Macaca mulatta: one gene and its partners. The protein of the gene in region 7 interacts with the protein of the main gene of each other region in a pairwise test. Links are inferred from orthologs where the notes say so. Each region holds a gene or a part of one and is shown on either strand. Other genes may lie near its edges. The genes, in order: PTMS, NPM2, ZRSR2, ZCCHC17, PRR13, LYAR and SDCBP2.

What was found.
Region 1: the proteins of SDCBP2 (region 7) and PTMS interact in a two-hybrid assay, tested with the Homo sapiens proteins (2 studies listed by BioGRID and IntAct). The two-hybrid records come from large-scale screens. The link is inferred for Macaca mulatta from reciprocal best matches to the Homo sapiens genes SDCBP2 and PTMS.
Region 2: the proteins of SDCBP2 (region 7) and NPM2 interact in binary tests that used the Homo sapiens proteins (3 or more experiments, as listed by UniProt). The two-hybrid records come from large-scale screens. The link is inferred for Macaca mulatta from reciprocal best matches to the Homo sapiens genes SDCBP2 and NPM2.
Region 3: the proteins of SDCBP2 (region 7) and ZRSR2 interact in binary tests that used the Homo sapiens proteins (3 or more experiments, as listed by UniProt). The two-hybrid records come from large-scale screens. The link is inferred for Macaca mulatta from reciprocal best matches to the Homo sapiens genes SDCBP2 and ZRSR2.
Region 4: the proteins of SDCBP2 (region 7) and ZCCHC17 interact in binary tests that used the Homo sapiens proteins (3 or more experiments, as listed by UniProt). The two-hybrid records come from large-scale screens. The link is inferred for Macaca mulatta from reciprocal best matches to the Homo sapiens genes SDCBP2 and ZCCHC17.
Region 5: the proteins of SDCBP2 (region 7) and PRR13 interact in binary tests that used the Homo sapiens proteins (3 or more experiments, as listed by UniProt). The two-hybrid records come from large-scale screens. The link is inferred for Macaca mulatta from reciprocal best matches to the Homo sapiens genes SDCBP2 and PRR13.
Region 6: the proteins of SDCBP2 (region 7) and LYAR interact in binary tests that used the Homo sapiens proteins (3 or more experiments, as listed by UniProt). The two-hybrid records come from large-scale screens. The link is inferred for Macaca mulatta from reciprocal best matches to the Homo sapiens genes SDCBP2 and LYAR.

Annotation. Positions count from the first base shown.
Region 1 is NC_133416.1:7,727,907-7,732,074, reverse strand, and holds the start of PTMS (parathymosin), read right to left. Parts: upstream 2,801-4,168; 5' UTR 2,437-2,800; coding exon 2,284-2,436; intron 1,456-2,283; exon of another isoform or gene 1,107-1,455; coding exon of another isoform or gene 1,062-1,106; intron 351-1,061; exon of another isoform or gene 1-350.
Region 2 is NC_133413.1:23,669,819-23,673,763, forward strand, and holds the start of NPM2 (nucleoplasmin-2), read left to right. Parts: upstream 1-1,145; 5' UTR 1,146-1,551; coding exon 1,552-1,575; intron 1,576-1,577; exon of another isoform or gene 1,578-2,167; coding exon 2,168-2,258; intron 2,259-2,387; coding exon 2,388-2,473; intron 2,474-2,602; coding exon 2,603-2,728; intron 2,729-3,945. UniProt on the Homo sapiens protein: Core histones chaperone involved in chromatin reprogramming, specially during fertilization and early embryonic development. Probably involved in sperm DNA decondensation during fertilization.
Region 3 is NC_133426.1:15,480,108-15,483,607, reverse strand, and holds part of ZRSR2 (U2 small nuclear ribonucleoprotein auxiliary factor 35 kDa subunit-related protein 2), read right to left. Parts: intron 281-3,500; coding exon 172-280; intron 1-171. UniProt on the Homo sapiens protein: Pre-mRNA-binding protein required for splicing of both U2- and U12-type introns. Selectively interacts with the 3'-splice site of U2- and U12-type pre-mRNAs and promotes different steps in U2 and U12 intron splicing.
Region 4 is NC_133406.1:209,563,716-209,567,710, reverse strand, and holds the start of ZCCHC17 (zinc finger CCHC domain-containing protein 17), read left to right. Parts: upstream 1-1,195; 5' UTR 1,196-1,268; exon of another isoform or gene 1,269-1,274; coding exon of another isoform or gene 1,275-1,394; exon of another isoform or gene 1,395-1,407; intron 1,408-1,693; exon of another isoform or gene 1,694-1,787; intron 1,788-1,942; coding exon of another isoform or gene 1,943-1,954; intron 1,955-3,995. Other genes in the region: SNRNP40 (U5 small nuclear ribonucleoprotein 40 kDa protein), read right to left, coding at 804-944.
Region 5 is NC_133416.1:60,591,756-60,595,843, forward strand, and holds the start of PRR13 (proline-rich protein 13), read left to right. Parts: upstream 1-1,288; 5' UTR 1,289-1,383; exon of another isoform or gene 1,384-1,391; intron 1,392-1,493; exon of another isoform or gene 1,494-2,170; intron 2,171-2,278; 5' UTR 2,279-2,298; coding exon 2,299-2,317; intron 2,318-2,796; coding exon of another isoform or gene 2,797-2,860; intron 2,861-3,004; coding exon 3,005-3,378; intron 3,379-4,088. UniProt on the Homo sapiens protein: Negatively regulates TSP1 expression at the level of transcription. This down-regulation was shown to reduce taxane-induced apoptosis.
Region 6 is NC_133410.1:8,736,146-8,739,343, reverse strand, and holds part of LYAR (cell growth-regulating nucleolar protein), read right to left. Parts: coding exon 2,832-3,198; intron 2,128-2,831; coding exon 2,041-2,127; intron 1-2,040. UniProt on the Homo sapiens protein: Plays a role in the maintenance of the appropriate processing of 47S/45S pre-rRNA to 32S/30S pre-rRNAs and their subsequent processing to produce 18S and 28S rRNAs. Also acts at the level of transcription regulation.
Region 7 is NC_133415.1:82,831,960-82,835,459, reverse strand, and holds part of SDCBP2 (syntenin-2), read right to left. Parts: intron 1,318-3,500; exon of another isoform or gene 1,249-1,317; 5' UTR 1,230-1,248; coding exon 1,176-1,229; intron 473-1,175; coding exon 403-472; intron 1-402.

The DNA of each region.
Region 1 (4,168 bases), on a different chromosome or scaffold from region 7:
CTCGCTGGATTTCAGACATACAAAGACACCTACTCAGTGAAGTCACATGCCACCGCACAGCCCGCCGGAGGGCCACACGGGCGCACCTTGGCAGATCGCACACAGCCCCTCTCCCACCGCCGTTAATCCCATTGGCTCCCCCCGTTTCACTTCGCTGGCCTCCGGGAGACCAGTGTGACGGCCCCTCAGCAACCACCGCGCCCCAACCCGCCCCGCCACACACATACACACACAAGATAGGGCTCCCAGCCCCCAAACCCCGGCCGCGTTAATTTCCCAAAGCGACACTCCGAAGGTTCCCTGGGGAAATTAGAGAAGGCTGGAAGAGAAGCAAGGGCGAACGGATGGGGCAGGGGAAGGGAGCTGATGAGGGCGAGGACAGCTCGACGCAATGCCATGCAATGCCCAGCCTCGGCTTTTTCGAAGGCTATTCCTGCCCCGCTTCTAATTTTTAGGAATTCGAGATTCTTCCAGTGTGTATGTGGGAAAGGGACGATGAAGAAAAAATAAAGCTGAAAGCCAGCTGAGGGGAGGGAACGAGAAAACAGAGGCAGCCGCCGTCCGGGGAGAGAAGCGAGCGACGGTCGGGCCGCGGGGAGGGGCCGGGAGGAGTAGCCTCCAGGGAGAGTCCTGTTTACACTTGAGGATCTCAAACCGCTTAGCGAGGAAAGGTGAGGTCGGGTTGCAAGGAGAGACGCGGCAGCGGGGCGCAGGGAGGGGGCGCGGCAAAGTGAGACTCGGGGCGTTGGGACGGAAAGCCGGACGGGATCCGGTCAGCGAGGTGGGGCCGAAGAGGGGTGGGGACGGCTGCGGGGGCCGGCGCGACCGGAGCGGCGAGGCCGGGCGCCGTGGTGCGCGCAGGGCAGCTAGAGGGCGCTGGCGCTAGCCGCGCGGAGCCGGGAAGGCAGCTCCGGGCCGGGGAGCGGTGGGAGGGCGCAGTGGGGTCCGCCAGGACCCGGGCGCGAGGGCCGCGCAGGGCCGTCGGGGGCGACCCGGGGCGGAGGACCGCGCCGGGCCCCAGGGCCACGCGAAGTCCGGGCCGCCGCTGCCCCCGCCCGTACCTTGGCGCTCAACTCGGCCGCTGCCTCCACGCTTTTCTCCGACATGGTGCCGGTGCCGGGGCCGGGGCCGGGGCTGGCGGGGAGCCGGGGTCCCGGAGCCGAGACGGAGGGGCCCTGGACGGCGGAGGGTGGCCGCGGCCGGAACCTGGCGCGGTGGCGGCGGCGGCGGCGACAGCGGCAGCGGCGGCCGCTCGGCAAGCTGGGTCTCTGGAAGAGGCGGCAGAGGCGCGCGGGGTGGGGCGGGGGTGGGTCTGGAGCGGAGACCCGCAGGGCTGCGGCCGTCCGGAGGGCGGGCGGAAGGGCGGTGCAGGCGGTGGCCGGCGCGCTCGGCCGCGGTCGCTCGGTCCCGGGCTTGCCACCCCCGCACCAGCAGAGCTGCCGCCGACCAGCCGCTGCCGCCCCCGGGAAGGGAACCCGCTTATAAGGCGGCGCTGCCCGACGGGAGGGGCTTCCCAGGGGTGGGGCAGGCGGGAGCGGGGAGGAGAGGAGAGGGGAGGGGGATGAAAGAGGAGGTTGGAGAGGTGGGGATAGGAGGATGAAAGCGAGGGGAGGGAGAGCTAGAGAGTCGGGAGGGAGGACGAGACCAGGAGGGGGAAATGGAGAGACTGACGGCCGCGGAGAAAGAGTGGGGCGAGGAGGTGGGAAGGGGTGGGGTTCCTGCGGGGAGGCACCTTTCCAAATCCCAACCTACTGCCTGCGAATGTGGAGTCTGGCTTTTGGGGGCGGACTGGAGAGGTGGCCAGAATCCTACTGACCCCAAAAAAAGCCCTGGGATTTTGTCAAAGGGTGGGGTGAGGGGAGCAGATGGGAAGATAGGGCAGGTATTTGAGAAACCAAAAGCTTAAAGAAGAGGAATAGGGTTCGGGCGCTCCTTCCACACCACGCCGGATTTCCCCCTCTCATCCTCCATCCACATTCTCTGGATGGCCTTGAGGGATGGGAGGGCAGAAAGGGCGGCCCAGCCTTCCCTCCCGCCAGATTGACACTTGTGACCCTTGCCGGGTGCCTGTCTTCCTGTCCCCGTGCTGTGAGCTGGAGGGAGTCAGGCCCCTGGTCTCCTTTGCTTCCAGCTCTCCTCCATCTTCTACCTCTCTTATTCGCCTGTCACCTCACTTTTATTCGCCTGGTCCTTCTATTTCTCTTCATCTGTCCTCAGTCATCTGTACCCAGACCCCTCCCTCACAACCAATTATAACTCGAATCGCTCCCATTCTTCTCTCACCTCTTCTCCACTCCTTACTGACCCTCTTCTGCCCTTACACCTCTGGTCTCTTTCCCTACCTTTCCCAGACAACCCTGCTCTTGTCTTATCTGAGTCAGGCACCTGGCCCTCTATTCTTGGCTGGCTTTCCTCAACTCCTCTTTCTGTCCTCATTTTTTACATTTGCCGTCCGTTAGCTTTTCTCATTCCTCTGCTGCCATCTTCCCTAGCCTTTCTGGGTTATATTTGCCTCCTTTGCAAATATAATACAGGTCCAGGTCTGGAGTTCCAGCCCCACCCTATTCCAGACATCCTCAGCTCCTCGCCCTCAATCTCGGTATCTTTGAGTCATTTTGAAAAGCTTGGGATTTCAGAAGGGAACAGGGGCTGGGTTGTGTATTAAAGGTCAGGAAGGTGGACGGGGTGGAAGGCTGGGGTTTGGAAAAAGTCCTTTGGTGTGCGTGCACTCCTATATTTGTCTGTCATTATCATTATTCCTCATCTTATTTTCATTTTATTAATAAAAAACCATTTTGATGATCATTATCATTATTTTGTGTTGGAGTGCTTAAATACACCATCTTTTGGTCCCTTGATGTACACGCCTCCCAGTTTCTCTTTCTGACTTTTCTATCAATATTTCATTCTCAGTCTCCTCAAAAATCTTGGGGCCCCACCCAGGATTTTTCCTTGCCGGACTCTATCTTTTCTGAGATCTTTCCATGTCCCTCTCTCAATCTGTTTCTCTGACTCACTGGCTGATGTCTTCAGCCGTCTCTCACCATCTCCATCTCTGTACTCCTCTTGCTTCATTTATCTCCCTCTCCTCGATCCTTTGCTACTCCCCCCCCAACCAACCCAGTCTCCCAGTCTCGCTCCCTCCCCATCAGGCTCTTTCCTCTCCCTCCCGCCTTCCTTTCCTCTTCCCTCCACTCCACCTCCCAGCCCCGCCTGCTGTCTCGGACACCCTGCTGGGCTCTTACCCTGTTGCCCTGGTAACCGCCCCCCACTCCGGTCACCTCCACTCCCCTCCCCCCTCCAATCACCGCCACCAACAACCTCCATCCACCTTCCTCCTATTTTTCCTGATAGCCAATAGAAACCCTGTTGCCAGGTGGAATGCTCATTTGAATCAGCCAATCCAGAAGCCTAACTGCTTGCCCTGCCTTATATGGGGATGTGAGATGGGCCACTCCCCCAACTCCAGCCCCACAGGGGACCAGCCCCTCCAGTGTCCCTTCTCCCCGCCCTAAAGAGAGGCTGGGACACTCCCTCTCACCCTTCCATAAGGGGCCTGGCCTCCCACTTCTCTAACTGGGACCACCAGGGTTAGCGTGGGCTGTGGGCCGGACTGTGGGCTGGGCCTCAGGGCTGGGGGTGGGAATGAGGTGTGATTAGGGAAGGGGAGGCGGAGGGAGCCGGGAATTTTGCCCAGGGAGGGGTGTCTGGGAGCAGAGGCAGCTGCAGTGGAAAATTCCAGAGAGATGGAGAGGCAGAGAATGGGAATCCTGCCCCAAAGCCCAAGGGAGTGCCTTGAGAATCTAAGAGCTTGGACACTAGGGTCCGAGGGACCCCAGGGAAAAGGTCTAGGAAGCTGGAGGCCTGGATCGAATTCCTTTCCTGCGTGGATGAAGCATCCTTTAGCCTTCTCTCTCTGGTTGGACAACAAGCCAGTCTTCTGAAGTCTTGGCTTCATGAGAAAGAAGCTGGAAGTGAGACTTGGGATGAATGTGGAGTGAGTGGGATCTGAAAGCCACCCGACAGTCCTAGGGGTTAGCCTCAAGCCTCTGGGGCCAACGGTGTTAAATGCCTGTGTTTGCTTTTCTCCATGGAACTATTTCTGAGGCTTTGTGGAGGCTTGCCTATTCCTAGAATTACCTTACTCTACAGTCCAATTGAGAATTTC
Region 2 (3,945 bases), on a different chromosome or scaffold from region 7:
AGCTGGGCATGGTTGTGGGCACCTGTAAACCCAGCTACTCGGGAGGCTGAGGCAGGAGAATCGCCTGAACCCGGGAGGCAGAGGTTGCAGTGAGCTGAGATCACACCACTGCACTCCAGCCTTGGTGATGAGAGTGAAACTCTGTCTCCAAAAAAAAAAAGAAATAATGTTGAAGGTGATGGATATCCCAGTTACACTGATTTGCTCATTACGCATTGTGTGCAAGTATCAAAATACCATATGTACCCCGTAAATATGTACAATTACTATGTATCAGTTAAAAAAAAGTTAATGAGGATGGTACCAGTATTATAGCCTCATTTAGCAGATGAAGAAACTGAGGCACTGAGACATGAATTAACACACCTGAAATCACAGAGTCCAGACTTGAACCCAGACTGTCCAGTTCCAGTCTCCCAGCTCTAGGTCATGACCTCAGGGTCATCCCCCTCCCCTGCCTCCATTTAGCCTTCACTGTGAACCCCAGCTGCAGCCTCACATCAGTGTGATTATTCACGGGGAGGGTGGCCTGGGGCCACTGAAGACCGGTTTGCTTTGAGCCCTACTCTCCAATGAGGCTGGAAGCCCTTTGAGGGGCTGTTTCGTATTCACTGCGGGATGCACAGACCCCGCCCGGCTGGCGGAATCACCGTTTGTTGAGTGAATACTTGAACGTCTGTGCATGGCATGCATGTGCCTGCAATTTGCTCATCTTTACCACACACTTGGCTGCAATGGCTGTCACCTCCAGTAGGCCCCCTGCCAAGGACAGAGATCTCAGGGACAGTCAAGGAGACTGGAACTGCTCAGCTGAGGACAGGGAGCCTAGGGGGCCCTGGCAGGCCCCCAAGCCTCTCCTGGGTTGTCCTGGCCAATTCACAGGGAGGTTGACCCCAGCTCCCAGGAATAAAAGATTCTGACCTCTCCGTAGCAATGAGCCCCTGCCCCAGAGGTGTGCGGGAGATCCCTGGTTATCTGAGGTGTCTCCAGGGTATATCCGCTGAAACCCCCCCTTCTCTTCACTGCCTACTGAGCCTGGGACCCGCTGCTGGTCACGTGCTTGGCCCTGTAGCGTCGCTAGCCGTGCTCCCCAGTGTGCCCCCCGCCCCCTGCCGCGGAGCCTCCCTGCTCCCCTCCCCACCCCACCTGCGGGCTGTGGCTCTCCGCGGGAGATCTCACCGTTCTGGAGACAGGGCTCGCTCTCTCTCATTGGAGACTGGAAGGACGGGCTGTCTGGGCCTTAGGAAAGGCCCATGCTGTATAAGGCATAGGGAAAGGAAAGGAAGAAAGGCAACGAACAAGGAGCGCTTCTAACTGCCGCTTCCTGCCAGCTGCAGGCCTCCCTTCCTAAGTTGGGCTAAGGTTTCCTTTCCATGGGCTGGGGAGGGGTCGCCAGTAGGCCTCGGCGGGTCCTCTTTGGCTCGGACAGCCGTTCTCACGAAGGGTCCTGGGCCGGCATCATCAGTTTCACCTGGGAACCGGTTAGAAAAGCAAATTCCCTCGGCCCCACCCAGACCCACGCCAAGGGCAGCTGTGGAGTGGGGCGCAGCGATGCGCACATTAACAGCCCTCCAGGTGATTCTACCGCGCAGAGGAGGAAACAATGGGAGAAGGGAAGGGGAGAGGCAGGCGGCTTCTTTGCGGCTGATTGGACACCTGCCCTTCCCCTTCCAAGGCTTCTTAGCCCGGCCTTGGGCAGCAGCCCTCCGGCCAGCGGGGATGAGGTTGCGCTGCGCTCCGGGAGCGCCAATGGCGTGACTGGCCCCGCGCGAAGCAGCGACAGTAAGGCTGAGTGGGGGGAGCTGGGACCTAAGCCGCGCGCACACCCCTTTCTCTGCGCCTGGTGGAGGTGCACAGAGGCTTTTGAGTTAGGCCCAAGCGCAGCCAGGTGACCTCCCCGCGGGCTTTCAAGCCTGGGCTCGGTGGACAGCTCCCTCTCGCGTGAGTCCGGCGGTCCTCTCCGCGCCCGGCCGAGCCCCGGGCTGCGCGCCCCGCTGGGAGGTGGGTACTCGTCCTCCAGGAGTTGGCGGTGAGCCCTTGACCTTGGCGGGCGCTCTCCAGCCGCGAGCGACGCCTCAGTATCTGCCGATGCCTGCCGGCCTCTGGCATCCTCCAGTCGAGGGTCAGGGTCAGGGAGCAAGGCCTCACGCGGGCGCCCTCCTTGCAGCTGCCCGGCCACCCTGCTTCTCCGCCCGGAGCCATGAATCTCAGTAGCGCCAGCAGCACGGAGGAAAAGGCAGTGACGACCGTGCTCTGGGGTGAGTGGGAACTCAGGCTACTTCCCAGAGCCACGCCCCACCTCCGGTGCGCGGCAGCTTGGGGCCCAGGTGAGCCCCTCCCTCGGGAACGAATAGAGGGCCCCACTTCCCTCCCTTTCTCCTCCGCAGGCTGCGAACTCAGTCAGGAGAGGCGGACTTGGACCTTCAGACCCCAGCTGGAGGGGAAGCAGAACTGCAGGCTGTTGCTTCATACGGTCGGTGTTCCCAAAAGAGGGGAGGAGGATGGAGTCCGGAGACTTTCTGGTCCCAACAGAGGACTATGGGTTTCTCCCGTCTGCCCTCAGGGTGATGAGGGGCCTCTGTCTATTTTCAAACCCGCGCAGATTTGCTTGGGAGAGAAAGCCAAAGAAGAGATGCATCGCGTGGAGATCCTGCCCCCAGCAAACCAGGAGGACAAGAAGATGCAGCCGGTCACCATTGCCTCGCTCCAGGCCTCAGTCCTCCCCATGGTGGGCCTTTCCCTGCTGGCAGGAAAACTGCTGCCAGCCCCAGCCTCACCCTCACCCTCACTCTTGGGTGGGGATGGACACACACGAGGGTGCATTCACCCTACAGAAGTGAGCCATGCCAGGGAGGTAGCACAGCCCATGCAGAAAGCTGGGGTCCAGCCCAGCTCACCCCTTCCTAGAGCTGTGTGACCTTAGGCAAGTTAAGCTGTCTGCAAAAATTACACTTTAAATCAGGGGTCCCCAACCACCGGGCCAAGGACCAGAATCCGTCTGTGGCCTGTTAGGAACCCGCGGCACAGCAGGAGGTGAGCAGCCAGCTAGCCAGCATTACCCCTGAGTCCCGCCTCCCATCAGATCAGAGTGGCATTAGATTCTCAGAGGAGCATGAACCCTATTGTAAGCTGTGCGTGCAAGGGGTCTAGGTTGCATGCTTCTTATAAGAATCGATTGCCTGATCTGAGGTGGAGCAGTTTCATCCCAAAACCACCCCCTACTCCCACCCCATCCATGCAAAAATTGTCTTCGAGGAAACCGTTCCCTGGTGCTAAAAAGGTTGGAGGCTGCTGCTTTAAACCATTCACTGCTAGTCACAGGAACATGGTCGATCTACATATTGGTTGTGTATCCAGAAATGCTGTAGTTTCTAATAATTCGTCTCAAGTTTTCTATGCATATAATAATTGAATAATGGCAGTTTTTCCTTTCCTTTTTTTTTTTTTTTTTTTTTGAGATGGAGTCTCACTCTGTCACCCAGGCTGGAGCACAATGGTGCGATCTCAGCTCACTGCAACCCCCGCCTCCCAGGTTCAAGCAATTCTCCCGTCTTAGCCTCCCAAGTGGCTGGGATTACAGGCATGTTCCACTACGTCCGGCTAATTTTTTTCTTTTTAGTAGAGATGGGGTTTTGCCATGTTGGTCAGGCTGGTCTCAAACTCCTGACCTCAGGTGATGTACCTACCTTGGCCTCCCAAAGTGCTGGGATTACAGGCATGAGCCACCACACCCAGCCAACCCGTCTTTTTTCCCATGCCCATATCTGATCTACCAGCAGTCCTGTCATCTCTGCCTCCATCTTATACCCCGATGGACCACATCTCATCATCTTCCCTGCTACTCCGGTATAGGTGACAGTTGTCTGTGGCTCCATTCTAATTGCTGGGCCTTCCTACCATCACATGGTCCCCTGTAGTCTATTCCAGGGTAGGCAAACTAGAGAG
Region 3 (3,500 bases), on a different chromosome or scaffold from region 7:
GGCAACTCTTTGTTTTTTCTTTTTGAGATGGAGTTTCGCTCTTGTTGCCCAGGCTGGAGTGCAATGGCGCGATCTCGGCTCACTTCGACCTCCCAAGATAGGCAGCTCTTCATGAGAGTTATTATGGTGAAGTAATCAGTTTGTTCACTAGTTACGTGACTCCTACCGTACCTCTTGTTCTTCTTGCCGTTTTTTAGCCGCCTCTTCCTTTTCCTTCTTTATTCTGAATTCTTCTTGTGCCTTCTGCTCTCTTAGCAACCACTCCTCATGTAATCTTTGCCTATCAGTATAATGATGTAATCAGACAAAAGAAATGGGCATTAATCCACAAATACACACACACGAGAGCAAAATGACACATTTTGGGATTGATTCAAATATCACGAAAGCTATTTTCTATTAAAGCAGTCAAGTGGGTGTAAGAGAACGAGAAGAGTAGAGCTTTTGGAAAAGCACCACGTGTCAGCAACTATCTTCCTAATGGGCAATAACTTAAAATCCCTCTTACATTTCATAGGTATATATGGCTGTGACATACTTTACAGAAAAAAAGGACACTATGACTTTCCCTCTAGACTGATCACAGTGACGTTTAGGTGCCAATAAAATGGGTAGCAAGTTTCAAAGCAGCATCTACCTTTTCGCATTCAGAAAGCATTTCCCTTCCTATTCTATGCAATTATTTTTATTTATTTATTTATTTTGAGACAGAGTATCGCTCTGTTGCCCAGGCTGGAGTGCAGTGGCGTGATCTTGGCTCACTGCAACCTCCGCCTCCTGGGTTCAAGTGATTCTCCTGCCTCAGCCTCCTGAGTAGCTGGGATTACAGGAGCCCACCACCATGCAAGGCTAATTTTTGTATTTTTAGTACAGACAGCATTTCACCATGTTGGCCAGGCTGGTCTTGAACTCCTGACCTCAAGTGATCCACCTGCCTAGGCCTCCCAAAGTGCTGGGATTACAGGTGTGAGCCACCGCACCCAGCCCCTATTCTTAAAAGTAGCAATTCCATGATGGCAGCACGCTGAAAACCCGTTATCCTCTGCCATAAACGTTTGGACTACTACTCCACACAGTTAAGAGACTCCTGTGGTTTGCCTCCAAACACCTAAACTGCCAAAAGAAGGAAAATAAAAGTACATTGTGATCATGTTTTTAAAATAAAGCTACAGGTTTTAAGAAATGAAGTTATAAAAATAAATTAGTGAGGGCCGGGCACAATAGCTCACACCTATAATCCCAGCACTTTAGGAGGCCATGGTGGGCAGATCACCTGAGGTCAGGAATTTGAGACCAGCCTGCCCAACATGGTGAACCCCATCTCTGCTAAAAATACAAAAATTAGCTGGGCAAGGTGGCAGCCGCCTGTAATCGCAGCTACTTGGGAGATTGAGGCAGGAGAATCGCTTGAACCTGGGAGGCGGAGGCTGCAGTGAGCCGAGATCATGCCACTGCACTCCAGCCTGGATGACAGAGCAAGACTTCGTCTCAAAAAATGAAAAAGTAAAAATAAACTAGTGAGTGTCTAGTCTATTTTTTATATGACCAATTATAATGAGTGGTATTACCTTAAAGTGGCAAGTGTCTCAGGCATCCAATATCACAAATTTCTAATCTAAAGCGGGGCTTAGATTTCTAAAGTCTACTTGCCAATTAGGTGTTTAGAACCCCAAATTCATTTTTCCACTGAATTTATAAAAGGGAAATGAAATATGAGAAACTGTTCTGTATTACTTCAGCAGTATCAGGAGTTCAGTAAACTTTTCTGTCTAGTCTGGGGACCTAACCACAATTTTAAATAAAACATATTACATTTCCAAATACAGATTCCAGGAACACGTCTTTTAGCCATGGCAGAGGCTGGCACACTGCCTATATCAGTGTTCCCATGCCATGTGTGAGGGCACCATACAGATGCTTCAGTGTGCACAGCTCTGATTTACGAATCTTTTGAAAAACATATAATTGCATATAACTGAACCAAATGATATATAAAGACCACAAGAAAGTAAAATGTTAAAAATTTTAAAATTTAATAACTTGAATATACATCTGCTTTGAAATAGGACATAAAGTCGTACAGTATTTTTACATAATTTTCTTGCTTTTCAACAATAGTATGCAACTCATAAAGAAATAAAGATCTAAGGAGCACAAAGATACATGTATGTGATTTAAAAGAAGCATTTCAAATAAACAGGAAGAAAATTACTTTCTTATTTAATACCATATCTATTGTCTTCATCACAACAGAAATCTATAATAAGAACTAGAGCTATCACAGCACCTCTTATCTGCTGACACTGTGTTAAACACTATACATCCATCACCTCATTTAATCTTCACAATTCTGTGAGGTGGATACTATGATTGACTTTATCTCCATAGTAAAGACAAGGAAACAGAAGCTTAGAGACATTAAGAAATTTCGGCTGAGCACAGTGGCTCACACCTGTAATCTCAGCAATTTGTGAGGCCGAAGTGGGCGGATCACGAGGTCAAGAGATCGAGACCATACTGGCCAACATGGTGAAACCCCATCTCTACTAAAAGTACAAAAAAAATTAACTGGGCGTGGTGGTGCGCGCCTGTAGTCCCAGCTACTCGGGAGGCTGAGGCAGGAGAATCGCCTGAATCTGGGAGGTGGAGGTTGCAGTGAGCCAAGATCACACCACTGCACTCCAGCCTGGGGACAGAACGAGACTCTGTCTCAAACAAAACAAAACAAAACAAAACAAAACAAAACAAAATTTAAAAAAAACATGTATCCCAAAAGAGAAAGGTGTAAGACTTGAGCAATCTACAAATAGGTAATAAAACATATAAAAAGATACTCTTCCTAATTCAGAAATGTGCATTTGAAACAGTGAAATACAACTTTTCATTACAGGAGTTGTATAAACTGCCAGTGCCTAGTATGAGTGAAGGTATGAGGAGATGGGGCCCTACATTCACTGCCAGAAGGGCTGCAAACTGCAAACCAGGAAGCCCTTTCTACCTGGCCATCTACATTTTACAGGAACTTACGCTTTGATTCCAACAATCTCATTTTTAGTCATTTTCTTAAGGAAATAATTTGACGATTACCAAGGATATATAAACATGGATGCTTACTGCAACTTTTTACATATGAGTAAAAAACCAATATAACCTGAAAGTCTATCAGTAGAGAACTATAAATTACGAATGAATAAACTACGAATAGCAAATAAATTAGGCTACTTCTGTACAGTGGGTACTGTATTGCCACTGAAATGGTTGAATTAGATCCCTGCATCAGGACTTAAATAAATGCACTATATATTTAGCAGGAAAGCAATTTATAGAAAAATACGTATAAATATCATGCCATTATAGAAAGACCCATGTAAAGTACATTTATACTTTCCTTTTCTCTTTCTTAACAGTGGCTATCTTTGGGTGTGTTGCAATTATTAAAGCCCTTTCCCTTTTTACATTTGTTAATTTTTTTGTTTTTCTTCTGCTTTCAAAAACAATTA
Region 4 (3,995 bases), on a different chromosome or scaffold from region 7:
ACGGCTTAGGCCATGAGGCAGTGATGGAAATGGTAGAAGTAGCAATTCTAGATCTATTTTGAGAACGGTGCCAGCAGGATTTATTGAGGAGATGAGAGGACACTCGTATTTCCTCGTCTGAGCCTAAACAGGGCATTAGAAGTGTGATCACTATTTCCATCTTACAAAAAATATAGTTAGGAGCATGGTTTCTCAGTTCAACATCTGTTTCTATCACGTGCTTGATAAGTCTGCTTTTCCATCTGCAAAATGGGTTAATAACGTTCCTAACAGGCTGCTACCAAGATCAATGGAAATTTCATATACGAAACACCTTAGTACAAGAGTCAACGAATGTTAGCTGCTATTCAGTTGTTAATAATACTAGTGCAGAGAAATAAAGGGAAAAGCAACTTGCCCAAAGTCCCAAAACGAGCCAACACCAATCATTTCCCTCTTTTCCTCCCTCCCTCATTCATTCATTCTACAAAGTCTTCGGAATTTCTGTTCTACGCTAGATCCATGTTAGAGTCAGGATGCTTAAGCCCGGGTCCGGGTTGTGAGCCCAAGGTTCTCAACGCTAATTCTAACGCTACCTCACAAGGCAGTCGAGAGGCTGAAAACCAGCGCCAAACGGGCGAACAAGTACTGAGCATCCGCAGGCTATGAGGCGCTTTTACAATGTTGGTGTGCTTTAACTCTAGGTAGAAACTCTCGTTCTGCCCCCCGCAATGCGGGAAGGGTCGGTGCCGGGTCACCAGATACAGCGCTCTGAGGGGAGGAAGATGAGCTGAGGGCCAAAGGCCGCCTGCTTCTTCACTTACCGCTTGCAGCAAAGCTCCCGGCGTCGCCTGCTGCTGCCCGGCTCCCGGGCCCGACCCCGCTCCCAGTAGCAACTCATGCCGCTGCCGCTTGACTGGAACCAGCGGCAACTCTGGGCCCTTACGCTTCTGTTGTTCTATCATGGCGGCAACCGGTCTCTTCAGCGCCGCCACTGACCGCGCTGCCCCCCTCAGGCGCCACGCAATTGGTTCCAGCTTAGTCCTTCCTCCACAACTTCCAGCTTGGAAGAACCAATCGGTTTTCAATATACCCATTTGCACTGCCCTCGGATAGTCTCTTGTTATTGGGCATATCTTTCTGACGTCATGAGAGTGCGATTCCAGGATTGGTGGACGGAGCTGGCGACCTCCCTAGGCGCGCTGGGTCTTGTGGGTGGAAACGCGCTGGCTGACTGGGCTCGGCGTTTAGTTCAGCGCCGGGACTCGGGGGCCTGGAGCTGACGCCTAGTACGTATGAGGAAGAGCTGGGTGGGTGGCAGCCTGAGTCTGAAGGCGACGCCTCGGTTGTGCAGTCTGAAGCTGCCCTTCTCAGCTGAGGGTGCCGATAGCAAGGGGTGGGAGGCGGGGCCCCGAGTCCCCAGCTGTGGTAAGTAGTAGCATGGGCTCCCTTTCCGGGCGGGAGCGGAGCCTTGGGGGTCTCTGGCGGCAAGACCCAGTCCCTGCGGCTCCCTTCTTCAAGAGCGCCCGTCGTGGCCAGTCCTGTGCCGGGCATTCCCAGGGAGAAAGGCCTGTGTCCCAACTTCCTCCGGCGCCCCGTTTGGCCGAGGAGGCTGACTTGTTTCTGCCACTGATTTTGCAGTTTTTGATTAGGGCCTAGTCTCTGCCCCCCTGAGAGAGACAATGATGAAGGAAATGTCCGACTCCTTCTCCAGAGCGCAGTCTTGTTGAGAAATTTGAGACTCATGCCCATGAACGTGGTCATTGCGTCAGTCGTCCAGCTGATATTTATTTAGCAGCGCGTTGGGGGTACGTCGTGAACCAGACACGGTCCCTACTCTCAGGGCGTTTAAGTCTGGTGGGGAAAACGTTAAACAATGACCTCACTAATACATGGAAATGCCTCCTAGTGCTGTTTGATGCTGAGTGCCTGAAATAAGCAGGAAGGTTTTTCAGAGGAAAAGATGCCTGCTCTGGTAGCTGCAGGAAGAATTGTAATTAATTAAGTGAAGAGGTAAAGGCAGAACCTTCCGTAGAGAACTACTTGTTCAGAGCCCTGAGGCACTTGGGAGGAAAAATGACTAAAAGCACAAAGAGCCAGTGTGACTGATACAAAGAGAATGAAGGGGAGTATGGTACAAGATGAAGCTGTACGTGATAGCGGTCAGACCTTGCAGGAATTTGTAGCTTTATTTTAAAACGGATGGGATACCACTGAGCCGTCTTCCCCCGGTGGGGTGTGGTGGAGGAGGGGGCTTGATTTCTCAGGCTCAGTGGTGTGAACAGATTGGGGCTGGGGAAGCCCTAGTCGATACATGTGGACCACTTAGGATATACAGTAATCCTGGTCAGAGATGTCAGTGAGGACTGAGAAGTGGGTGGAACTGCAGAGAATTGGACAGATTCTAGAGGTATGTAGGAGGTAAAATGGGCGGAACTTGGTGAAGGGTTGATTTTAGTGAGTGAAGACAGGAATCAAAGGTAACTCATAGGTTTCTGGCTTATGTAGTTGAATAGATAGATGGTGGTACCATTTACTCACTATCACGGAATCCCCCAAGCTGGATAGGGAACACTAGAAGACGACTAGAGACCAGTTTTTTTTGTGTTTTTTTTTTTTTTTTTTTTTTTTTTTTTTGTGGGGGACAGGTTCTTGCTCTGTCGCCCAGGCTGGAGTGCGGTGGCACAATCTCGGCTCACTGCAACCTCCACCTCCCAGGTTCAAGCAATTCTCCTGCCTTAGCCTCCCCAGTAGCTGGGATTACAGTCGCCACCGCTATGCCCGGCCAATTTTTGTATTTTTATTGGAGATGGGGTTCCACCGTATTGGCCAGGCTGGTCTCCAACTCCTGGCCTCAAGTATCCACATGCCTCGGCCTCCCAAAATTCTGGGGTTACAGGCTTGAGCCACTGCTCCCAGCTGAGACCAGTTTTGACTGATTGATTGATTGTGTGGGGTCATTCATGATATCCAGGAGGCAGTTTGAAACACAGCTTTGTGCTCAGAAGAGAGATTTGTGTTGGGAATATAAAATTGGGGATAATTTGTATGTATGTGAATTGAGCCATAGGTGTGGATAAGGTCACCTAAGTCAGAACCTTGACTAGTTCCAACATTTAATGGTGAAGAACAGGTGGATCAACCTACAGGAGATACAGAAGGAAGGAAGGAAGACTGGAGGAATGTTTCAGAAGCAAAAGAATGATTTGTGATAGAAACTTCTAGAATTTAAATAACATGAAGATTGAAAAATATATTTTGGCTTTTATCATTGTGGAGGTCATGGTAACGTTAGCAAGAGTTATTTTGTTGGTGTGATTGGGCAAAAAGCCAGATATGAGGCAAGGATTTGGACAAGAAAATGTAGGTAGTGAACCTACACAGTATGTTTCATAGATATGATTGTAAAGAGGAGGAGAGGATGCGCTAACTGATGGAGATAAGGGATTATCCAGGATCCAATTGAGGATACAATTGTGAGAAATTTGAGAATATTGTAGAAGATTTGAAAGTCATTGTGGAGTGTGGGAGAATGAGGTTACTAGAGAAATAGTAGGATGCAAGGAAAAAAAAATTAAAAACTTTTTTCCAGCATATTCAGTGGTTTAGTGCATACATGGAGAAAACCTGTCTGGGTATGGCAAGGACATCGCTTGCTCAAGACACATTCTAACCTCTAATATGTCTTCTCTTACTGAAAAATTTGGAAAACTAAAAACCATTTTCTAGACTCCTTTGCATCTAAGGTGAAAATTGAATTTGGAACCGAGTTAAATGTGGAGAGAAGGAGGGTATGAGTCATCCAGTTTTGCTGCCAGTCATGGCAGTAAGTTCTCCAGTCAACAGCTCCCTGGTTTGGTGACTTGCTGCAGTAATAGCCATAACTTTCTTGGATTGTGGCAAAGGTGGTGTTATTTTGTGGGTTAGGTGTTGTTCCTGGAAGTTCTGCCAAAGTCTGTTATTGCAGTACATCCCTTTCTGCTTAAATGGGTTCTGTTGTCTGCAACTGTCCCTGA
Region 5 (4,088 bases), on a different chromosome or scaffold from region 7:
TTACCCAGGTTGGAGTGCAGTGGCACGATTTCGGCTCACTGCAACCTCCGCCTCCCGGGTTCAGCGATTCTCCTGCCTCAGCCTCCCAAGTGGCTGGGATCACAGGCACATGTCACCACGCCCGGCTAATTTTTGTATTTTTAGTAGAAACGGGGTTTTACCATATTGGCCAGGCTGGTCTCGAACTCCTGACCTCGTGATCCGCCCGCCTCGGCTTCCCAAAGTGCTTGGATTACAGGCATGAGCCAATGTACCTGGCCACTTGTATTGTTTTCTTTAAAAAAAAAAAAAAAAAGTCTGGGCGCGGTGGCTCACGCCTGTAATCCCAGCACTTTGAGAGGCCGAGGCAGGCAGATCACGAAGTCAAGAGATGGAGACCATCCTGGCCAACATGGTGAAACCCCATCTCTACTAAGAAATACAAAAATTAGCCGCGCCTGTAGTCCCAGCTACTCGGGAGGCTGAGGCAGAAGAATCGCTTGAACGCGGGAAGCGGAGGTTGCAGTGAGCTGAGGTCGCACCACTGCACTCCAGCCTGGCAACAGAGCGAGACTCCGTCTCAAAAAAAAAAAAAAAAAAAAAAAAAAAAAAGAGGCCATTGTAGCAATTCAGGGGAGAAATGAATCCAGGCGAGAGATGATGGGAGGTTTAGACCAGGGAAGACGGAGAGAAGTGGAGAGATTCCAGATGTATTTGTGAGACAAAACTGGTAATTTGGGGTAAGGGAGGTGAAGGAGACAGAGGGATCACGGAAGACCTCCTTGGTTTCTGGTTTAGGCTTCTTGACAGATGGCGGAGCTATGCAATTGAGAGAGGGAATCCTGGGAGAGATTATGAAATCTCTGTATTTTCCGCAAGAATGTTTGTTTGCTTCCCTTGCGAGTGTAAGAGGGAGCCGAGAACATTGAGGCTTGGGGCTAGGACTCAGCAGCTCCTCTGCCCTTGCCGAGAACTCTGTCTATATCTGTATTACAACACTTACCATAGTGTATTCACTTTACAAGGTATTGCACCCAGTGAACCATGACTAGCAGAGAGCAAGGGCAGAGTTTCTTCTCGGTGTCTCTAGGACTTTGCCCAGCAGCTGGCCCCGCCCCCTCTAGCGCTCTCCGCCTAGCTCCGCCCCCAGGAGATTTCCGGCTTCTCAGTACTTGCCTAGTCGTAAAGGGCTCCGGTCTGCAGCTAGAGCAACCGTTTCCTCCTCAGTTGGACCAGAGTGATTGATTAGTTTGTTGTCCAATCATCAGCCGAGTGGCCACATAATTACCAATTAGGCAGTAGCAGAGGCGGGTACCGAAGCACGGGGTCTGGGTGACTAGGTGTGACTAGGAAGTAAGAGCCGAGACTGCGAAGAACGCATCAAGTCCAGGCGGCGGTGGAAAGGTGACGTGGTATCTGAATTCCATGGGTTTATTCCTTTTCCCATTGCTGGGTTAAGAGCCCCTTCGCAGCTTGGGGCTAGGATCTTCATTTGCCTTTTTTCTTTTTTGGAGGAATTGGGCTGTGTCCATTTATTTAAGTATTTGAGGTTCTTGAGCAACTTCCTTCTTCGCCTCCAGGCGTATCCTTTTCTTAGCCTGAGGTGAGGTCCTCCCCAGGGAGAAAGTTGTTTGAGATCCTTTCTTACTCTGTGGGTGGTTAAAGGCCTCCGGACTCAGTTCCAGGAAAGGGGGATGAATGATGGGGGTGCCGAGACTCGCGGGCTATGCCCTCTTGCGAAGAGTTAGACGCTTCAACCTAGGTGGAGGGGCCCTGGGAACTAGATTCCTGTGTTAGGAACCAAGTAGGTATTGAGGGCGAAGAAACAAGTGGAAAGAGACATTTCTTTCTTTTTTTTTTTTTCTTCGAGGCGGTGTCTCGCTCTGTTGCCCAGGCTAGAGTGCAGTGGCGCGATCTCAGCTCACTGTAACTTCCGCCTCCCAGGTTCAAGCGATTCTCCTGCCTCAGCCTCCCGAGTAACTGGGATTACAGGCGCCCGCCACCGCGCCCGGCTAATTTTTAGATTTTTAGTAGAGACGGGGTTTAACGATGTTGGCCAGGCTGGTGTCGAATTCCTGACCTCGTGATCCACCCGCCTTGGCCTCCCAAAGTGCTGGGATTACAAGCGTGAGCCACCGCGCCCAGCCAGAAAAGAGATGTGTCTTATGTGGAAGTCGTGGTAGTTCTCCAGGTGGGAGAGCCTACTGTGGGGTGGAAGACGTTAGGGCTGGGCTCCGGTGCTAAGTCCACTTCCTACCTCTAGACTGTCATCTTTTTTGCCTCATTTCTTTCTCCTCAGGCTGGAGGACACACCTAAACATGTGGAATCCCAATGCCGGTAGGTGTTTGGGGGTTCTGTACGACCCCTAACCCTTTTTCTGATGGACTCTGCGTAACAGGAAGTTTCTCTATCAGCTGCCCCATCCCCGACCCGCCACACCCGCAAAAGCAAAGTCCTTAGTCTACAGCTGACCAGTGCTTTTTTATTTTATTTTATTTATTTATTTTTTGAGACGGAGTCTCTGTCGCCCAGGCTGGAGTGCAGTGGCGCGATCTCGGCTCACTGCAACCTCCGCCTCCTGGGTTCAAGCGATTCTCCTGTTTCAGCCTCTGGAGTAGCTGAGATTACAGGCGTGCGCCATCACGCCCTACTACTTTTTGTATTTTTAGTAGAGACGGGGTTTCACCATGTTGGCCAGGCTGGTCTTGAACTCCTGGCCTCATGTGATCTGTCCACCTCGGCCTCCCAAACTGCTGGGATTACAGGCTTGAGCCACCACGCCCCACCGGCCTGACCAGTACTTTTGTCTTCCTCAGAGTTCACTGTCTCCCTCCTCTCTCCAGCCCTTACGGGGACATTCCCCTTTTATCCTCAACTCAGGTTTGTCTCCCCTACCTTCTATTCTCCTTTGTCACTTTTCCATTTCCCTTTAAGTATTGGGTGAGAAAGAATCTCTTTCTTTTTGTTGTTTGTTGTCGGAGACTCTGGGGAATACTAATGTTTATAATCTGCTTCTTCCCCCAGGGCAGCCAGGGCCAAATCCATATACCCCCAACATCGGGTGCCCTGGAGGTTCCAATCCTGCCCACCCACCACCTATTAACCCACTCTTTCCCTCAGGCCCCTGTCCTCCTCCCCCAGGAGCTCCCCAGGGCAATCCAGCTTTCCCCCCAGGTGGGCCCCCTCATCCTGTGCCACAGCCAGGGTATCCAGGATGCCAACCCTTGGGTCCCTACCCTCCTCCATACCCACCTCCTGCCCCTGGAATCCCTCCTGTGAATCCCTTGGCTCCTGGCATGGTCGGACCAGCAGTGATAGTGGACAAGAAGATGCAGAAGAAAATGAAGAAAGCTCATAAAAAGATGAACAAGCACCACAAGCACCACAAGCGTGGCAAGGTCAGTACCCTCTGGAGCCTGGCTAGGGAAGGGGTGCCCCCTCAGAGGGACTAGGTAGGCAGGGGTTGGGTGAGGGGGATTCACATTCTGTGGACGTGGGGGATGACGATTGTGTCACTCTGGTCGATGATTCTTCCTTTTTGTAAAAGATTGCTACTGGGAAGAATCTGATTATCTTGAAAAGAAACATCAGGCTTCTCCTATCTGGGGGGAGCTAGGGTGAGCCTTAAAATAGATTTTTAGAATCAAAAGCCAAATCTTTTCTGCCCTACTCTCTCCCAGAACTTTTGCTCCCCTCCCCGCAGGTGCATATTCTAGCAAGTTGGACCCCCTCACTGACATTATCAAAACATCAATTAAAGTCATTCCTTTGACAAAGCAAAGTCTTATAATAATTAACAGAATAATAATATGGCCCTAGTTCCTGGAGTTCTTTCTCTCTTTCAGTGTTCTTAGGGCCTTGTGTTAATTACATGGGCCCTTTGCCCTATCATCCAGCAGAAAAAGTGAGGACAAGAGCAGTCAGTGACTCAGCCTCTAACAGCCTAGGACTAAGGAGGTTTTATACTCAGCCCCAAGGCTGAGTATCTTTGTTTTAGAGGACTGTTAAAAATTAGTAAGGATCATGCCTGTAATCCCAGCACTTGGGAATTATTAGCTGGGTGTGGTGGCGCATGCCTGTAATCCCAGCTACTCAGGAGGCTGAGGCA
Region 6 (3,198 bases), on a different chromosome or scaffold from region 7:
AAATTAAACTTTATCAAAACAAAACCATTTGCCCTAAAAAAGACTCTGTTATGATGAAAAAACAAGCAACAGACTGAAAAAAATTCACAAACCATATGTCCCACAAAGGAGTAATATTTAGAATAAAAAACTCAAATCTCAACAGTAAAAAAAAAAAACAAAAAAATCTCACAAAAACAACCACCACCAAAAAACCCCCAAACAACTCAAATTTACTTCAGAAAAACTGACTTAGTTCACACAGAAACTTGCACATCAATATTTACTGCAGCTTTATTCATTAATAACCAGAAATTAGAAACCTCCCAGGTGTCCCTCAACAGGTGAATGATGAAAGAAAGTGTGACGCATGCATAGCATGGGATACTTCTCACCAGTAACATGAATATTATCAGTTCAGCAGCCTGGGTGAATCGTCAGAGAAAAATGCTGAGTGAAGAGTCAATCTCAAAAGGTTACATACTGTATGATTCCATTCATAGAACATTCTGAGATTACAGAAATGAAGAACAGATGAGTGATTGCCAGAGGCTAAGGAGGGGGTGGGGGTAAGAGGGAAATGGCTATGGCTGCAAGAGGGCAGCAGGAGGCAGCCTTGTGCGATGGCGATGGAAACAGAAGCGGATCAATGTCAACATCCCGGCTGAGATGCTGTACTACAGTTGTGTAAAGTGTTATCCTGGGTGGCAACAAGGTAAAGGGTACGCGGATACATAAGGACGCCTGAGTCTCCATTATGTCTTACAACTGCATGTAAGTCTACAAGGATCTCAAAACAAAAAATGTAACAACAACAACAACCAAAAAAACCGTTCCAGTTGTCCCCCTTGAACTGTAGGGATCAGAGTTCCCAGACCCCCAGTGGATACCTGAAATCACGATGGTGCTGAACCCTATATATACAGTCTTTTCCTCAATATTCATGCATATCTATGATAATTCTCCACTTATAAATTAGGCTCAGTAAAATATTAATAACTAATAATAAAATACAACAATTTTACAATACACTATAATAAAAGTTATATGAATGTGGTCTCTCTTTCTAAACACCTTATTGTACTATCCTCACCCTTCTTGTGGTGAGGAAGGCACAGAGCAGGACAGCAAGAGATCTCGCCATGCTGCTCAGAACAGCAAGCAATGGAAAACTTATCAATTGTTTATTTCTGGAATTTTCCATACCACAGATATGGGGGCACTACTGTTTACAAAGTTGAGAAGGGGGTTTTAAGCTAAGGGATCTAACCCAACGCTGGGAGTCACTGAACTCTGCTAATAAAGCTGCAGGCCCATTTGAGTCCTTGGACCTGTTCTGAACTGCGGGATCCTGGGGGTTGGGGGAAGTGGCAGAGAGATGACGACTTGCCACCTCCCGACAGGTGTGAGTGCTTCAGACCTGAGGAAGCAGGAGAGAAGCTTTGTGTAAGAGGCAGCATTTCAGAGGGCCCGTGAAGGCCAGGGACTGGATTCTGAGGTTGAAGATATAAGCAAGGAGATCACAGAAACAGGCCCAGAGATGGGCAGGGGCACAGCTGAGGGGACTTCTAAAAGGACAATGAAAGGCAGGGACGAGAGAGTTGGGGAGGAGCGAAAGGGAACGGTCTCAGAAAGCTATATTAGGTTTATTTAAATTCCCAAGATAACATACATTTCCAAACTAGATTGCTTTACTTTTCTCCTTAAAGACAGTGGGTGAGAGGCACTGTAAGACTGACTCATACACCCTAGAGAGCTGATTTTACTTTCAAATTCTTATACATGCCTCTGGAGGGTAAGACCCTATCAGAAGTTCCCGGGTTACACCTTCCTCCCCGAGAAGGGGGCATCTATCGGCCCCTCTCCCAACCTACAAGGGACCGTGCATTTCTTTTCTCTCTCTCTCTCTCTTTCTTTTTGAAAGTCGTATGCCCATGGCTCACTACAGCCTCAAACTCCTGAGCTTAAGTGACCCTCCTGCCCCTGCCTTTCAAGTAGCTGGGACTATCAGTGAGAGCCGCTGTGCGCAGCTGTGCTCTTGGAATGACAGCAGTGATATACCTTTTGCAGGAGCCTCATGGTCTTCTGGTTCTCCGCCCTCAGGATGCTCTGGGAGCTTCATCTTTTTCTTCTTAGAATCTGTTTCAACTAAGTATTTGGAAAGGTTTTTTTTAAAGAAGATTTTGCATTTATGCTAGCAGCTACCATTTAATGAGACCTTATGCGAGCTAGGCACGCTCCACATTATCATCTCATTTCTTCTCCAGGCTGCCTAGCCAGCCCCGGTTTACAAAACGCCAGGAGGGTTTTATCCTCCTCCATGCTGGAGATGGGACGAAGGGAGTTGAGAAGTGAGGTCATTTGCCTGGGCAGGGCCCAGCTCAGCCTGGCCACAAAGCTTATGCTCGTTCCCTTACTTGGTTCAAAACACAAAGTCTAGCTGGGTGCGGTAGCTCATGCCTGTAATCCCAGCACTTTGGGAGGCTGACAGGGGCGGATCACCAGAGGTCAGGAGTTCGAAACCAGCTAGACTAACATGGTGAAACCCCATCTCTACTAAAAATACAAAAGTTAGCCGGGCCTGGTGACACATGCCTGTCATCTCAGCTACTCAGGAGGATGAGACAGAAGAATCGCTTGGTGGAGGTTGCAGTGAGCCGAGATCGTGCCACTGCACTCCAGCCTGGGCAACAGAGCGAGACTCTGTCTCAAAAAAAAAAAACAAAAACAAAACATTAAAACCACACGCGCACACACACACACACAACACTAGGTCTAACAGGATTAAATACCCCAAATTCACAGCTTTCCCGGTTTTCAGACGAATCCTGGAGCGTTAGCCAGCCACTTACCTTCTGAGTGCTTCCGCTTCCTCTTTCCTGCACCCACGTTTGCCTCTTCCTCACCAGCACTGTCCTTGCGCTGCTTCTTCTTCTTGCTCCTCTTCCCTGCAGAGCCGTTGGCCTCAGGGACTTCCTCTCCACCAGCCCCAAGGTCAGCCTCCTGTCCCTTTTTACGCTTCTTAGGCTTCTGATTCCTTGAGTTTTCCTGGTGGTTTTCTAATTTTAGTTCTTTCTTTTCTCTTTTCCTTTTCTTCTGCCGTTCTTCCTTTCTTTCTCTTTTATTCTTCTTCACCTCCCCTTGCTGTTCCACGGCATCTTTCACTTTGGAGGGTGGAACCTTGGTGGAGATTTCTGCACGAGGATGTGCCACTGGGTG
Region 7 (3,500 bases):
CACCAGACGGTGCTGACATGCTGATTTATGGTGACTCGAATCGTTTGTATAAACAGAGGCCCCACAAATGATATCACATTCTCAAGGCAGCCTTGCTGGGGGCACCAGAGAGGCCGCAGCTTTGCTAACTCTCAGCTGGGTTTAGAAGGATAAACAGGTTCACTGGGCAGTCAAGGAGGGAGGGGAATAGCATGGGCACAGGCCCTAGGAGGTGAGGTGACTCAGCCCAGGTCAACCAGGCAGTAAGAGGTCGGTGGCAACTGGGAGCCTGGTCCTCTCCTCCTTCCATGTTGAGTGCTTAACCCTGGAGCCTCCCATACCTTTGGCATTGCCAAGCTTCCCTGATGACCTCTTCCCTGAAAGGACTGGGCACCCAGGAGCCCCCCACTCCAGCTCACCTACCTGGTGGTGGGGAAATGGCTGCCGCCTGGACTGGCAGGGCTGGCATCTTGGGCAAGGCTCTGGCCTGGGCCTGGGGAGGAGCAGGGAGCACTGGTCAGCTGTGGCCAGGACCCCAGGAACCCCAGAGCCTGGAGCTCCATGAGGCCAGGGTCTGGGCGTTAGGTTGTGAGTGGGCCTGGGGTGTGGGGGAAGTGTCCACCAACCCTCAGGGCTGAAGATCATGTAAACATGGCCTCCATGGATGTGTCTTTTCCTGGGAGGAGGTTCTGAGGGACTGTGACCCAACTGATGTCACAACCCGTTTACTGCCTGCAACAGGCAGAACATCAAGACCCATCTCCCAATCAAGTTCTCAGCTGCAAAGTCCAAAATTCTCAAAACCCACTGGAACCACAGAGTGCTGGGATGGAGGAAGAAGGGGGCTTCTGGGGGCTGAGCAGACCAATGCCCATGCCCACGAGCCTTGTTTCCTCTGAAAGCCTGCCTGAGAGCATGGGGCCTGCCCATTCTGGAGAGAGGGAGAGCTGGGCCTGGGCAGGACAGAGTGGGCATGAGAGAGGCATGTGTGCAGCTGCTTGGTCTTTTCCGTTCTTGCTGTAACACCATTGGCATTGCCCCCTGGATGTCTTCTCTGCCCAGCAGGCCCTGCAGTGGAGACCTACATGACCTGAGGCCTAAGGGAATCTCCAGGTGGCCCCAATTCCCAGCACCTTCCAGGATAATCCCCAAGATCCCCTTCAGGGAGTCCAGATGAGTGGAGTCTGGTGACTTACCTGAATGGCCTGGTCCACTTTTAGGTCTTCTAGAGATGGGTACAGGGATGACATGGCTGATTCTTGGAACACCCTGCAGAGTTCAGAGGGTGGGGAAGGATAAGGATGCAGCTGATGCCACCTTGAGAGGAGGCACAGACATCTGCAACAGCAAGTGGGTTGGAACTTAATATTCAAACAGGAAGGCAGCAGGACACTTAGAATCCCTCCCCGAACTCCACCCCTAATCCCCTCTCCATTTTCGAACTCTACTGTATTCCACCCATCTCTAGCCTCACTGTCAACTTTCAATCTTGGCCACAATGAAGTAAGACCAGTAGGAGATTTATAAAGACTCTCACACAAACTGTAGCAGAACTTAGACCCTCAACAGGGCACTGCTCCAGAGGGAGGAGGGAACGGGGAGTGGAGAGGCACCATGAGCACTTATTTACTAAACACCTTATCATTGTCTCCGGGAGAATCAGCAGGACCTCTCAGCAACGTACCCAGAGAAAGTGAAAGGAATGACCTCTCAAGAAATGTTTTATTCCCTTCCTGACGAAACGTGGGGAAGGAGCAGTCTGCCTTTCTGGGTTCCTTCCCTTTACCCACTAACCACTGGCTCTGTCACACTCCCAGGCTTCGCTGAGGCAGTCCACTTCCACTGGAGCCCCTGTCCAACCTCCTTGTCACCCTCGGTTCCTGTGGGACATGCCTTGCCTGGCTCCAGGCACTACGGTCACTGCCCCTACCATCCAGGACCCTGCCCTCCAGGACAGCACTGGGGCAGCCTCCTGCCTGAACTCACCACTTGTCCTGACTGCAGTTCTGAGGGGTCAAGGTGTGTCCTATTCACCCCACTGAACCCACATATGATAGGTACACATGATAAAGGAATGCCTGCTGGTGGCACAGGAAACTGAGGGGCCTGTGCCAGGGTGATGTGACTCCAGGCTTCCCAGGACCAGATCCGCTGGGTACCTCCCTGAGTGACCACAGGTGCGCCGAGGACATCCTCATCCATCACTGCTCCTTCTCCTCCCTCTGCACCTGCTGCCTTGACCCCCGTGTCATCGTTGGCCCCACTCCCACTATCCCTTCTCATCTGTCATCAAATCCCATCTTTCCCACATCCCATGTTGTGCAGGTCCCCATCATCTCCCTGGCCCTCCCCAGGTGCCACGACACCCTCCAAACATGCTGCTGCCTCCCCTCCTGCCCTCCTGCTCCTCTCCAGACAGCAGCCACCAGGCCCTTTGTGTATACACTTGGGATGTCATGCCCTGGCTGAAAGCCCCCCAGTGGCTCCCCTGCCTTGGGAATGTACTTTCCTTAAAGTGGCTCACAGGGCCTTCACGATTCCACCAGAGATTGGAACTGGTGGGCTCAGGGCCAGATGGAAATATATTTTATTTGACCTTGTGGAGTACTGTCAACGTTCAGATTACCAGCTTAAATGCAAGGCTCAAGGTACTAGATTTAATAATCTAATTTCCCACTGCTCCTGAAAAACAGGAAGCTTTGGCAACCCTGGACTGTAGCAGAGTAGCTACAATTGAGTAGCAGCAGACTCCAGGGTGACCCAGTCCACCATCCTCTATTGGCTCTTACACCCAGACCATTGTACTCACTGGCGCCAAGTCCCGATAGGTATTTGTTTGTAACCCTTGTCTACTTCTCCAGCTTCATTTCTTGCCTTATGTCCTTTCAGCTGCTACTTTCAGCTCCAGCCATAATGAGCTACTTTCACATCCTTGAATGTGATTCCCTCCCGTCTCTTTTGCATGTGTTATTCCTTCTATCTGGAATACCCCTCCTCTCCCTGCTCCTTGCTTGGCCAACTCCTAATGATTTTCAAGTCTCAGATCCGCAAGCTCCTCTTACAGGAAGCCTGCTTTCATTTGTTCTCCCCCTAGCCCCTGCGCCATGTCCTACTCCTGTTGAGTATTCACGAGTCCTGTGTTGCCTCTTTACTTGTCTGTCTACCTCCTTAGGAGTTCCAAGATGGCAGGAACAGGGGCTTCTCCTTTGCTGTGAAGCCTCTAACCCCTAGCATGGAGGCTAGCTCAATAATATTGCCAAAAGCAGCGCATTCTACCTGGGCTTCCACCTTTTTCCTTGTAAAGCTCTAGTATCCTAAGAACACCCACCTTCCTGGATGAAACAAAGACCAGAAGTCCCAAATGTGCCTCTCACAGTCCTGTTTTGTTGTTGTTGTTGTTATTATTATTATTATTTTGAGACAGGGTCTCACTCTGTTGCCAAAGCTGGAGTACAGTGGCGCTATCTTGGCTCACTGCAATTTCCAACTCCCGGGCTGAAGCCATCCTCCCACCTCAGCTT